Xenopus tropicalis: one gene and its partner. The protein of the gene in region 1 purifies or fractionates together with the protein of each later gene. This does not show direct contact. Links are inferred from orthologs where the notes say so. Each region holds a gene or a part of one and is shown in the gene's direction. Other genes may lie near its edges.

Region 1 (4,616 bases):
GGGTAAATAAGACCCTAGCAACCAGATAGCTGCTGAAATACCAAATGGAGAGCTGCTGAACAAAAAGCTAAATAACTGAAAAACCATTAAAAATAAAAGTGAATTGAATGCGAACTACCCCTTTAAGCTAACTGATCACAAACACAAATGTTTGCAGATCCCCTAACAGAAGTGCGCGTATGAATACTTTTACATCCTAAACATTTTAGGGTAAAAAAAAAAAAGCACCCCCACCCGCACTTTTGTACAGTATCCCTGGGAGTCAGTGGGAACGGCAAGAGGTAGTTGGGAGGTTAACTTTTTACGCCAGCAGCGAATCCACTAAGTGTCACATTAGCTGTAGGTCAGTCTGTGTATGGGCCATCTTTAGCCTCCCCTAGTATCATCCTGCAAAAAAAAATATATATATTTTTATATATATATATATATATATATATATATATATATATATATATATATATTTGTCTGTTGCAGGATGATGCTAGCTTACTTGCCCCCCCTTGGAAAATTTTCTGCGGACGCCCATGGCTCCCAGTAGGTATCAGAATAGCACTCAATAGTAGGGTTGCCACCTGTCTGGTATTGGCCCGGACAGCGCAGTTTTTGGAAGGACTGTCTGAGTCAAAACCTTCTGCTCGGTTTCCAAAATTAGGAAAACTGGGCAGGACTCACTGACATTGACACGGCGATCGGGAAATCGACGCTCACCATGTCATAGCCCCACCCCCTTGGCATCAAGGCCTCGCCTCTTCCCCACCCCAAAACTTTGCGGACAGGGACGAGGTACTGAGATGGCACCAACACACCAATATTACAGTTAAAAAAAAAATACATTTGCTGATTCAAGAATAACATTTTAAATGGCAGAGTGAATTATTTGCTATGTAAACATTGTAATTTAGAAATAAAAAGTACCCCATAAAAAACATAACTGAATCCCTTCAATAACTCCTGCTATTGAGCTCCTGTCACATTACAGGCTGTGCTTATACAGATCAATGGCAGTAGCTTTGCTTTCTTTGCCTCGGCCATCTCATAATTCTGCTTTGTGCAGTCACCACTATTTAGCCCCAAGAGCAAGCCACCCTTGCCTAAATCCGTCCCTATTTCATAATAAGCACCTACCCGGCTCCTTCCAGCCGCCTCCTCCCTCACTACTAATTCCAAACTCCGCGCCTTCGCGTCACTTCCGCCCACTGACACAACTGGTTGCCTTAGCAACCGCAGCTAGGAAGCTGCACAGCAATGACGCTCTCCTTTTCATTTAGTAGTGTAATTGCCCTTGTGTCACAAACCCTTCCAATATTTGATTTCACCTCTTTCTTAACCCTTCGGCCTCCCCAAAGCAAAAGTCACACTGGCCCCCATACATTCTAGCCAGCATGAGCGGCGTACCGGGGGACTGAGTAGATTACGTCAGTAGACCGCCGAACGCACGATGCGCTCGATTCTCTCAGTAGTTGATTGCTCCGGTCTATTGCCTGGGACCCGGAAGCAGTGTGCGGGTAGCACATGGGTTGCGCTTGGCTGAAGCCGGAGCTGTAGCAGGGGGGTAGGATCGTGTCTCCCATATGTGCGGAGGGCTTGGCAGGAGGGAAGCATGGATGAGTGTGACACTGCCCCCAGCAAGCTTGTTAGTGAGGGCGACTTCGTGGTACTGAAGAGGCAGGATGTGTTCAAAGCCGTGCAAGTGCAGAGGAGGAAGTAAGTAGGAGTGTTGGTGCAGTGACAGCAGTGCGCTCTCACACAGGGCTATGCGCATCAGCACTTCATTCAGCATGTTTAGCGCCTGCCATGCTGGCATCGTGTCTGTAAGGGGAAAAACACACGGAGCTACTAGTAGCAGCTACTTTTTCATGGTTACTAAACTCCAGAAAATACCCTGCCATAGACAATACTGAGAATTGCCTCTGCTAAGGGCTCTGGTACACGGGGAGATTAGTCGCCCGCGGCAAAACTCCCTGCTCGCAGGCGACTAATCTCCCCGAGTTGCCTTCCCTCTGCCATCCCACCGGCGAACATGTAAGTCGCCGGTGGGATGGCAGACGCGGCGGGGCGATTTCGGGAAATCGCCGAAAAAGCCTCGCGAGTCTTTTTCGGCGATTTGCGCGAAATCGCGCCGCCGCGTCTGCCATCCCGCCGGCGACTTACATGTTCGCCGGTGGGATGGCAGAGGGAAGGCAACTCGGGGAGATTAGTCGCCCGCGAGCAGGGAGTTTTGCCGCGGGCGACTAATCTCCCCGTGTACCAGAGCCCTTAAACACACGTAGAGACAATTATCAGTATATGATCAGTATTGTTTGTTTTAGTAGCTGTGATGATAAGTAGCTGCTACTAGTAGCTCTGTGTGTCTTCACCCTGAGGGCAGTGGTACACGGGGAGATTATTCGCCCACGACAAATCTTCATTGTCGCGGGCGACATCTCCCAATGTAAATGTAAATGTAAATGATCAGCATTGTCTATTTTAGTAGCCACAAGTAGCTTTGTGTGTCTTCACCCTAATGGTTATCGCTGTCACCTACTGGCCTGCTGATTCAGCATCTGTTATTGTGTGTAATTATAAAAGCAGAATGGTGACTAATGTTTGGTCGGCAAGTTTGTAGTTGGTCCTTAATCCTGGAGCATGCTGTGGGAAATGCTTGTCAGTAATTTGCTCTGTCAGGGGCAATTGTGCTGAACAAATGTATGTATATTTTTATTTATATAATAATCCTCATGCAGGCAGCACTGTATAACAGATATCGATTGTACCAATCATAGAAAACTCTTTACCCACTGGAAGTCCAACGCTCCTACATCATGCACATAATGAGCAAGCTGAGGGACTCCCTTATTAGGCTGATGCCACACACGGCGTAGGGCTGATTTTTTCGGCAAGCGGAAAAACGCTTGCCGAAAATTCAGCCCTACGCCTGCTACTTGTGCCTGCACCCGAATGAATGGGATACGCTTGGGTGCAGGCACATGTAGCCGATATACGCATGAAAACGCGAGAGAATGCAAAGTCTCGCGTTTTCATGCGTATATCGGCTACATGTGCCTGCACCCGAGCGTATTCCATTCATTCGGGTGCAGGCACAAGTAGCAGGCGTAGGGCTGAATTTTCGGCAAGCGTTTTTCCGCTTGCCGAAAAAATCAGCCCTACGCCGCATGTGGCATCAGCCTTATGTGCAAGCATGTCATCAAATATGACCAACCACACCAGGAGTTACCCAGCTATTGCAAGAGGCATGTTTTGGGGGAAAAAACAATTTAGACCCTTACTGGAGTGCAGGCTCTATAAGCTTTTTCAATGACAGATGCCCTTTAATGTAGCAACAAGTAATAGAAACCTGCATACTAGTACTGTAACTAAAAGTTCTAAGCACCATAGCAGAATTCCTAAACTTTGATTAATTTATTATTCTTTATTTATATAGCGTTGACACATAATGCTCCTGCTGGAACTGAATCTAGGATCCCAACGCTTCAGTGCTAATCACTATCCGATAGAGATTCTTTCTACTTCTAGAACCCACACCATCTTCTGATTCAGCTGTCTTTGTGTTGTCCCCACAAGCAAATGTCACTGCAAAGAGAATTATCCCATATTTCTGTATGTGCAAAAGTGCAGCAACAAATGTACAATATTTTGGGATTATCCTTAATGGTTTATGTTCAAGCTAGGATCTTCCTGCTGCTGTTAACTGACTCATATCCAATAGCAAGGAGTTGCAGCATACTGGTTTTGTAAACTGCTGGTAGAATGACCTCTTCATATTAAATAGCCCTGATAACAGTACCTAATAAGGGATTTCATAAATATTCTGTTAATGTGTGCTGATCAGATGATTGGGAACAGATATTATAGTGGCAAGGATATTTTTGTGACTGGGAAAGGTAGACAATTTTGGTCATATCCCCTCGTTTGTACGACAGTATCTGTAAATACAGTGGCTTGCAAAAGTATTCGGCCCCCTTGAACTTTTCCACATTTTATCACATTACAGCCACAAACATGAATCAATTTTATTGGAATTCCATGTGAAAGACCAATACAAAGTGGTGTACACGTGAGAAGTGGAATGAAAATCATACATGATTCCAAACATTTTTTACAAATAAATAACTGCAAAGTGGGGTGTGCGTAATTATTCAGCCCCCTTTGGTCTGAGTGCAGTCAGTTGCCCATAGACATTGCCTGATTAGTGCTAATGAGTAAATAGAGTGCACCTGTGTGTAATCTAATGTCAGTACAAATACAGCTGCTCTGTGACGGCCTCAGAGATTGTCTAAGAGAATATTGGGAGCAACAACACCATGAAGTCCAAAGAACACACCAGACAGGTCAGGGATAAAGTTATTGAGAAATTTAAAGCAGGCTTAGGCTACAAAAAGATTTCCAAAGCCTTGAACATCCCACGGAGCACTGTTCAAGCGATCATTCAGAAATGGAAGGATTATGGCACAACTGTAAACCTACCAAGACAAGGCCGTCCACCTAAACTCACAGGCCGAACAAGGAGAGCGCTGATCAGAAATGCAGCCAAGAGGCCCATGGTGACTCTGGGGGAGCTGCAGAGATCTACAGCTCAGGTGGGGGAATCTGTCCATAGGACAACTATTAGTCGTGCA
Region 2 (4,617 bases), on another chromosome or scaffold:
CAGTCTGAGGGCCTGGTCTGTAATAAAGTGGAATAGAAGTATGAGATTAACCCATTCTTTACTAATTAAAGGCTTCCAGGATTCAAAAGAAAATCTATTTTTACACTCTCTCCCTAGTCTGAACTACTCTCCCATGTTAAATGCAACAGACAGCTCTTGAAGCAATTAACCCAGCTTTACATACTAACTATTTTAAACCAGAAGTAAAAGTCTTTACCTAAAAAAATGATTTTATGGAATGTATGATCCTACAGTGCCTGGCTAATGTATCCCCTTACTATGGGTTAATAGCTGCATGACCTGCTAAATGTAAGTCATATGCTATTTGTCTCTTGGATGAGATGATAGTTTCCTTTTGTTTGTCCATAGCCTTAGTTACTGTGAAAACCCCATAGATTCTGTGTTAATATACATCAATTATTGTGTGGCAACATGTTAATCTATGCATTTAGTATAGGTGTTCTGTATGAGAGCCATATCAGGATGTAGGGAGCCTAAACTAACAAGTGAACCCACCAAGGGTATGATTATGGAGTGAAGAGTGATCAGATCAAGGGGGCTTAAATTGGTAAGGACAAGATAATCATCCAATAAACATGTGTGTATGTCTATGTCTAAATCAGTCTTTCTATGTTTTAGGGCAACTTTCACAATGCTCACAAGTTTAAGAAATTCTCTTTATTTCTTGCAAATAAATCACTGGGTGTAGCCTAGAGCAGGGATCCCCAGCTTTTTTACTTGTGAGCCACACTCAGATGTACAAATTGTTGGTGAGCCACACAAGCATGAAAAAAGTTCTTTGAGTATTCTAAATAAGCACTGTGATTGGTTATTTGGTAGCACCATGTGGACTGCTGGCCTGCGGGATGCTCTTCTTGGAGTCTCTGTATCCGTGCTTCCAAAACTTGTCTCCAAGCCAGAGATTTAAAAGTGGGCTTTGAGGCCACTGGGAGCAACATCAAAGGGGGTGGGGAGCAACATGTTGGTCACTATCCACTAGCTAGAGTATTATCTTTACAAAATCTTTATACTAACAAAAAAAATGAGGTCTCTACTACCTTTAGGGCTAGGCAATCTTCAGGCCTGTGGGACACGTGTGTGGCTTTAAAATTTCAGAATTTCAGAATAACTCTCATCCTATCAAAGAATATCACTGACATCTTTGTGTGACATCATTTTTTAAAAATATAAAGGGCCCTTCAACAAGTGATATCACAGTGGAGATTTGACATTGGCATGCACATCTGGTAAAACGAATGCATGCTTTATAATCCATTTGTCCAAGTGCCCACTACCATCCTATCCTTTCATTAGTACTGTTGCTGTGGAGAAATGTTTTTTTTAGCAATTTGGAAATTGGAATTAACTGTGATTTAGAAAAGCGTATAGAGCAGGGTGGTTATGGTGTGGGAAGGTACTGATGGAGAAGTCACTGCTGACAGCAGAAAGCCGCACGGCACTAGGGCGGGCTTGTAAAGAAAGTGTGAGGGGGTCACAGTAATGATTTCAAATACAAATGCGGCATTTATTTATATTTAATAGCCCATTGTAGGTAACACAGGTTCATCTCACAGAAAAGGTGCAGCAGAAGACGTGCGCATCAGCTCTAAGGGATTAGTTGTATAAAGCCCAAATGTATCTTTTCTAACGAAATGTATATTATTATTAATTTATCCTGCCAGCACGCATTTTTGCTTAGGCTGCTAATGTTCCATCCTAAACCCAGCCAAGATACGTGGTTTATATGCTCAGGGAACTTCCCTGCCAGCACCACTGACAAGCGCAAGTCTCCGTGACGTCATCTCTGTGCGACGCGGAACCGGCACACGTGCCTAGTAGGAGGAAGCGGCGTTTTGCCAGGGATCTTGTGTACAGTAGTTCCTTGCTACATTCCGGCTACAAATCGTGAGTTTTTATAAAACAGAATATCCATGAGGCTAAGACATCTGTTAGCTTGTCTAAAATGTGTGATATATTCACTCATTTCCATTAATAATAATGATAATCCAGTTTCTGATGATGTATTCCTCAGTGGCCCACTGCCCATCAATATGTCAAGTCGGTGTGTGGTGGGTGTGATACTCCAGTTGCTTATGATGTATCACGTGAATACTTTTACATTCTGTAGTGGAGTAATACAATCCAGGGTCAGGGAGCTCCTTAAATAGTGATCTTCAAATAGGAAAGGGAAAAGGTCCTTTGCTTCCAGTTTCTGATATATAATACACAAAGCAGGTGCAAAGAAGAACTGGGTATTCCTTGTATTATGCAAGCTATGACATTCCAAAGGCAAGGATGTCAAAGTGTAACATCCCAAAGCATTGTGACCAAGTACTGTAATTCCTAGTTTGTAATGCTCACAATGTCATAGTAAAGATTTGTAGATTTCTTTGGAGAGCATATATATCAGATCAGTGTTTTAGCCATGTTACTGCTTGAAAGGTTTATTGGGCTAAATGTATTAGATTAAAATAGCAAACAACAGCCCATTTAGTAGTGGTAGCACATTTAACTGTGGTATATCTAAAGTGTGCTCTAATAAATGAAGTCGTTTTCATGTTGGCGCTTAAGATAAATCTGGCATTCATTCACTTTCATAAACTGGGCTCTATAGTGCACGACTTTTTCATTGGTATAAGGTGCTACTTAAATTTTAATAGGGGTTATTGATGACAGATTCTCTGATAGACAGTGCATGTGTCATAAAATATATACATTTACTGCCCTTCGTCTTGGTCTTATACTTCTTACCATGCAAACTGCTTAATGCATAGGTTGGGCAATCTCAAACCAAATATATTCATCAAATATAATTAAAATTAGACATATATCTTTTTAGAAAGCACCATTAAACTGGTTATAGTTTGTGAAATTGCTTTCAGTTAGAACTGACAATATTTTTTGGTTCACTTTACTTTTAGGTTGAACAGCAGAATATAACAGCATGAGTTTTGTGGAATACAAAGAATTTATTGAAGATGGAGATACAGCCATTGTCTTCCTGGGTCATGACTCAATGTTTCCAATTACCATCCAAAATGGTAGCCAGACACAGACAAAATATGGAGTCATCAGACATTCCACTGACTTAATAGGAAAAAAGTATGGGTCCAAGGTGATTTGCAGTAAAGGAGGATGGGTCTATATCCTATACCCTACTCCAGAGTTATGGACCCTGAATCTTCCTCACCGCACACAAATCCTTTATTCCACTGACATTTCTCTTATCACAATGATGCTGGAACTGAAGCCAGGATCAGTAGTATGTGAATCAGGTAATGTGTATGCATGTGTGGCATGCAGTATATGTGACATATACAGTTTCACACTGTTTGTTGCTAGTGACATAGATGTGTGCGGCTACCTTCCCCTTTTATTAAGTAGAATTTTTACCCAGGAAATACACAACAAATGGAACATTTACTGAAAACATATTCTGTTTCATTGTTAAACCATAGTGTAAGAACTCATTTTGCACTAATTTTATCTCACCAGCTTTAGGAGATGCTTGAAAAGAAGGTATTACTGTATCTGCACTCTGCCTTTCATTTCTTTATGATATGAAATAACAGGGGGAGATAAAGCAATTAACAACAAAGCAAAATAGTGGGTAGTATGCCACATCTGCTTAAAGGACAATGAAAGGTTAATATAAATTAATAGTAAGTCTAAAGGCATTCTTTTTAAGTACTTACTGCATATCTAAATTCCCAGATCCCTGCTTGCTTCTCTGAGATATGGGGCTGGCAGCCTACAGCAGTGTGAAGACTACAGTGACATCACTGAAATCTCTCTCCCCTTCCTGTAGGTGCCAGTGGCAGCCTTCCTATTCTCTGAGCATGTGTGTAACTTGATCCTGTCTGCTGTTCTAAGCTACACATGCCCACCAGCCAATCAGAAGCGGATCTGCCAGAGGGGAGGGGGGGAGGGAATGAAACACATGTGCAGTATGAAGCAAGGAGGTAAAGGAAGGGAGAATACCTTTTTAGAGATGGCTGCCTGTTCTAGAAAATATGAAGTAAGTGTGACTGAGTAAATATTTGATTAGGTGAGCCAAAAGTGTGGTGTTTTTACTAAACAATAGGAGGACTATTGGGCAGTATGCTTTTTCAATTTTGACTTGCATTCTCCTTTAAAATAACCCTTGACATTGCAGTCTAGCTATATACAGTATCAATACAGCAATAACTCAGTATCACTGAGAGGCATAATGTGCTTTAATCCCAAAATGTTGAGCATTCTTAGTTTCAGCTAACATAGTCTGCCTCATATAATACAATAGCAGAGCTTGTGGACCTCTAAAATGCCTTTTTTACAGTAATAGAACAACTGTATTGGACACCACTACCAAGGCAAGAAATATCAGATTAAGATACAGAGCAAGCAAGGGAGGACTCTTTTCAAATAAAATAATGCATGGATTTAGGTTCAAGGCTGGAGAAATTACTCTGATTGCATAGAATAAAGGAACACATAAAAATCAGATGCATTTGCTTACTGATAAAACAGTTTAGTAGCAAAACCAGCCATAGTTCTCTGTAACTGTCCAAGGTTTGTCAGGTTTATGTAGTTGTTAACAGATCCCAAACAACTATATAAATTAAGGCTGATGATAAC

Evidence for each region.
Region 2: the proteins of trmt6 (region 1) and trmt61a purify together in Homo sapiens (affinity purification with mass spectrometry; 4 studies listed by BioGRID and IntAct, counting the BioPlex papers as one, with this or other methods). This does not show direct contact. The link is inferred for Xenopus tropicalis from reciprocal best matches to the Homo sapiens genes TRMT6 and TRMT61A.

Annotation. Positions count from the first base shown.
Region 1 is NC_030681.2:25,117,014-25,121,629, reverse strand, and holds the start of trmt6 (tRNA (adenine(58)-N(1))-methyltransferase non-catalytic subunit TRM6), read left to right. Parts: upstream 1-1,502; 5' UTR 1,503-1,600; coding exon 1,601-1,704; intron 1,705-4,616. UniProt on the Homo sapiens protein: Substrate-binding subunit of tRNA (adenine-N(1)-)-methyltransferase, which catalyzes the formation of N(1)-methyladenine at position 58 (m1A58) in initiator methionyl-tRNA.
Region 2 is NC_030684.2:98,372,553-98,377,169, forward strand, and holds the start of trmt61a (tRNA (adenine(58)-N(1))-methyltransferase catalytic subunit TRMT61A), read left to right. Parts: upstream 1-1,812; 5' UTR 1,813-1,905; intron 1,906-2,921; 5' UTR 2,922-2,944; coding exon 2,945-3,275; intron 3,276-4,617. UniProt on the Homo sapiens protein: Catalytic subunit of tRNA (adenine-N(1)-)-methyltransferase, which catalyzes the formation of N(1)-methyladenine at position 58 (m1A58) in initiator methionyl-tRNA.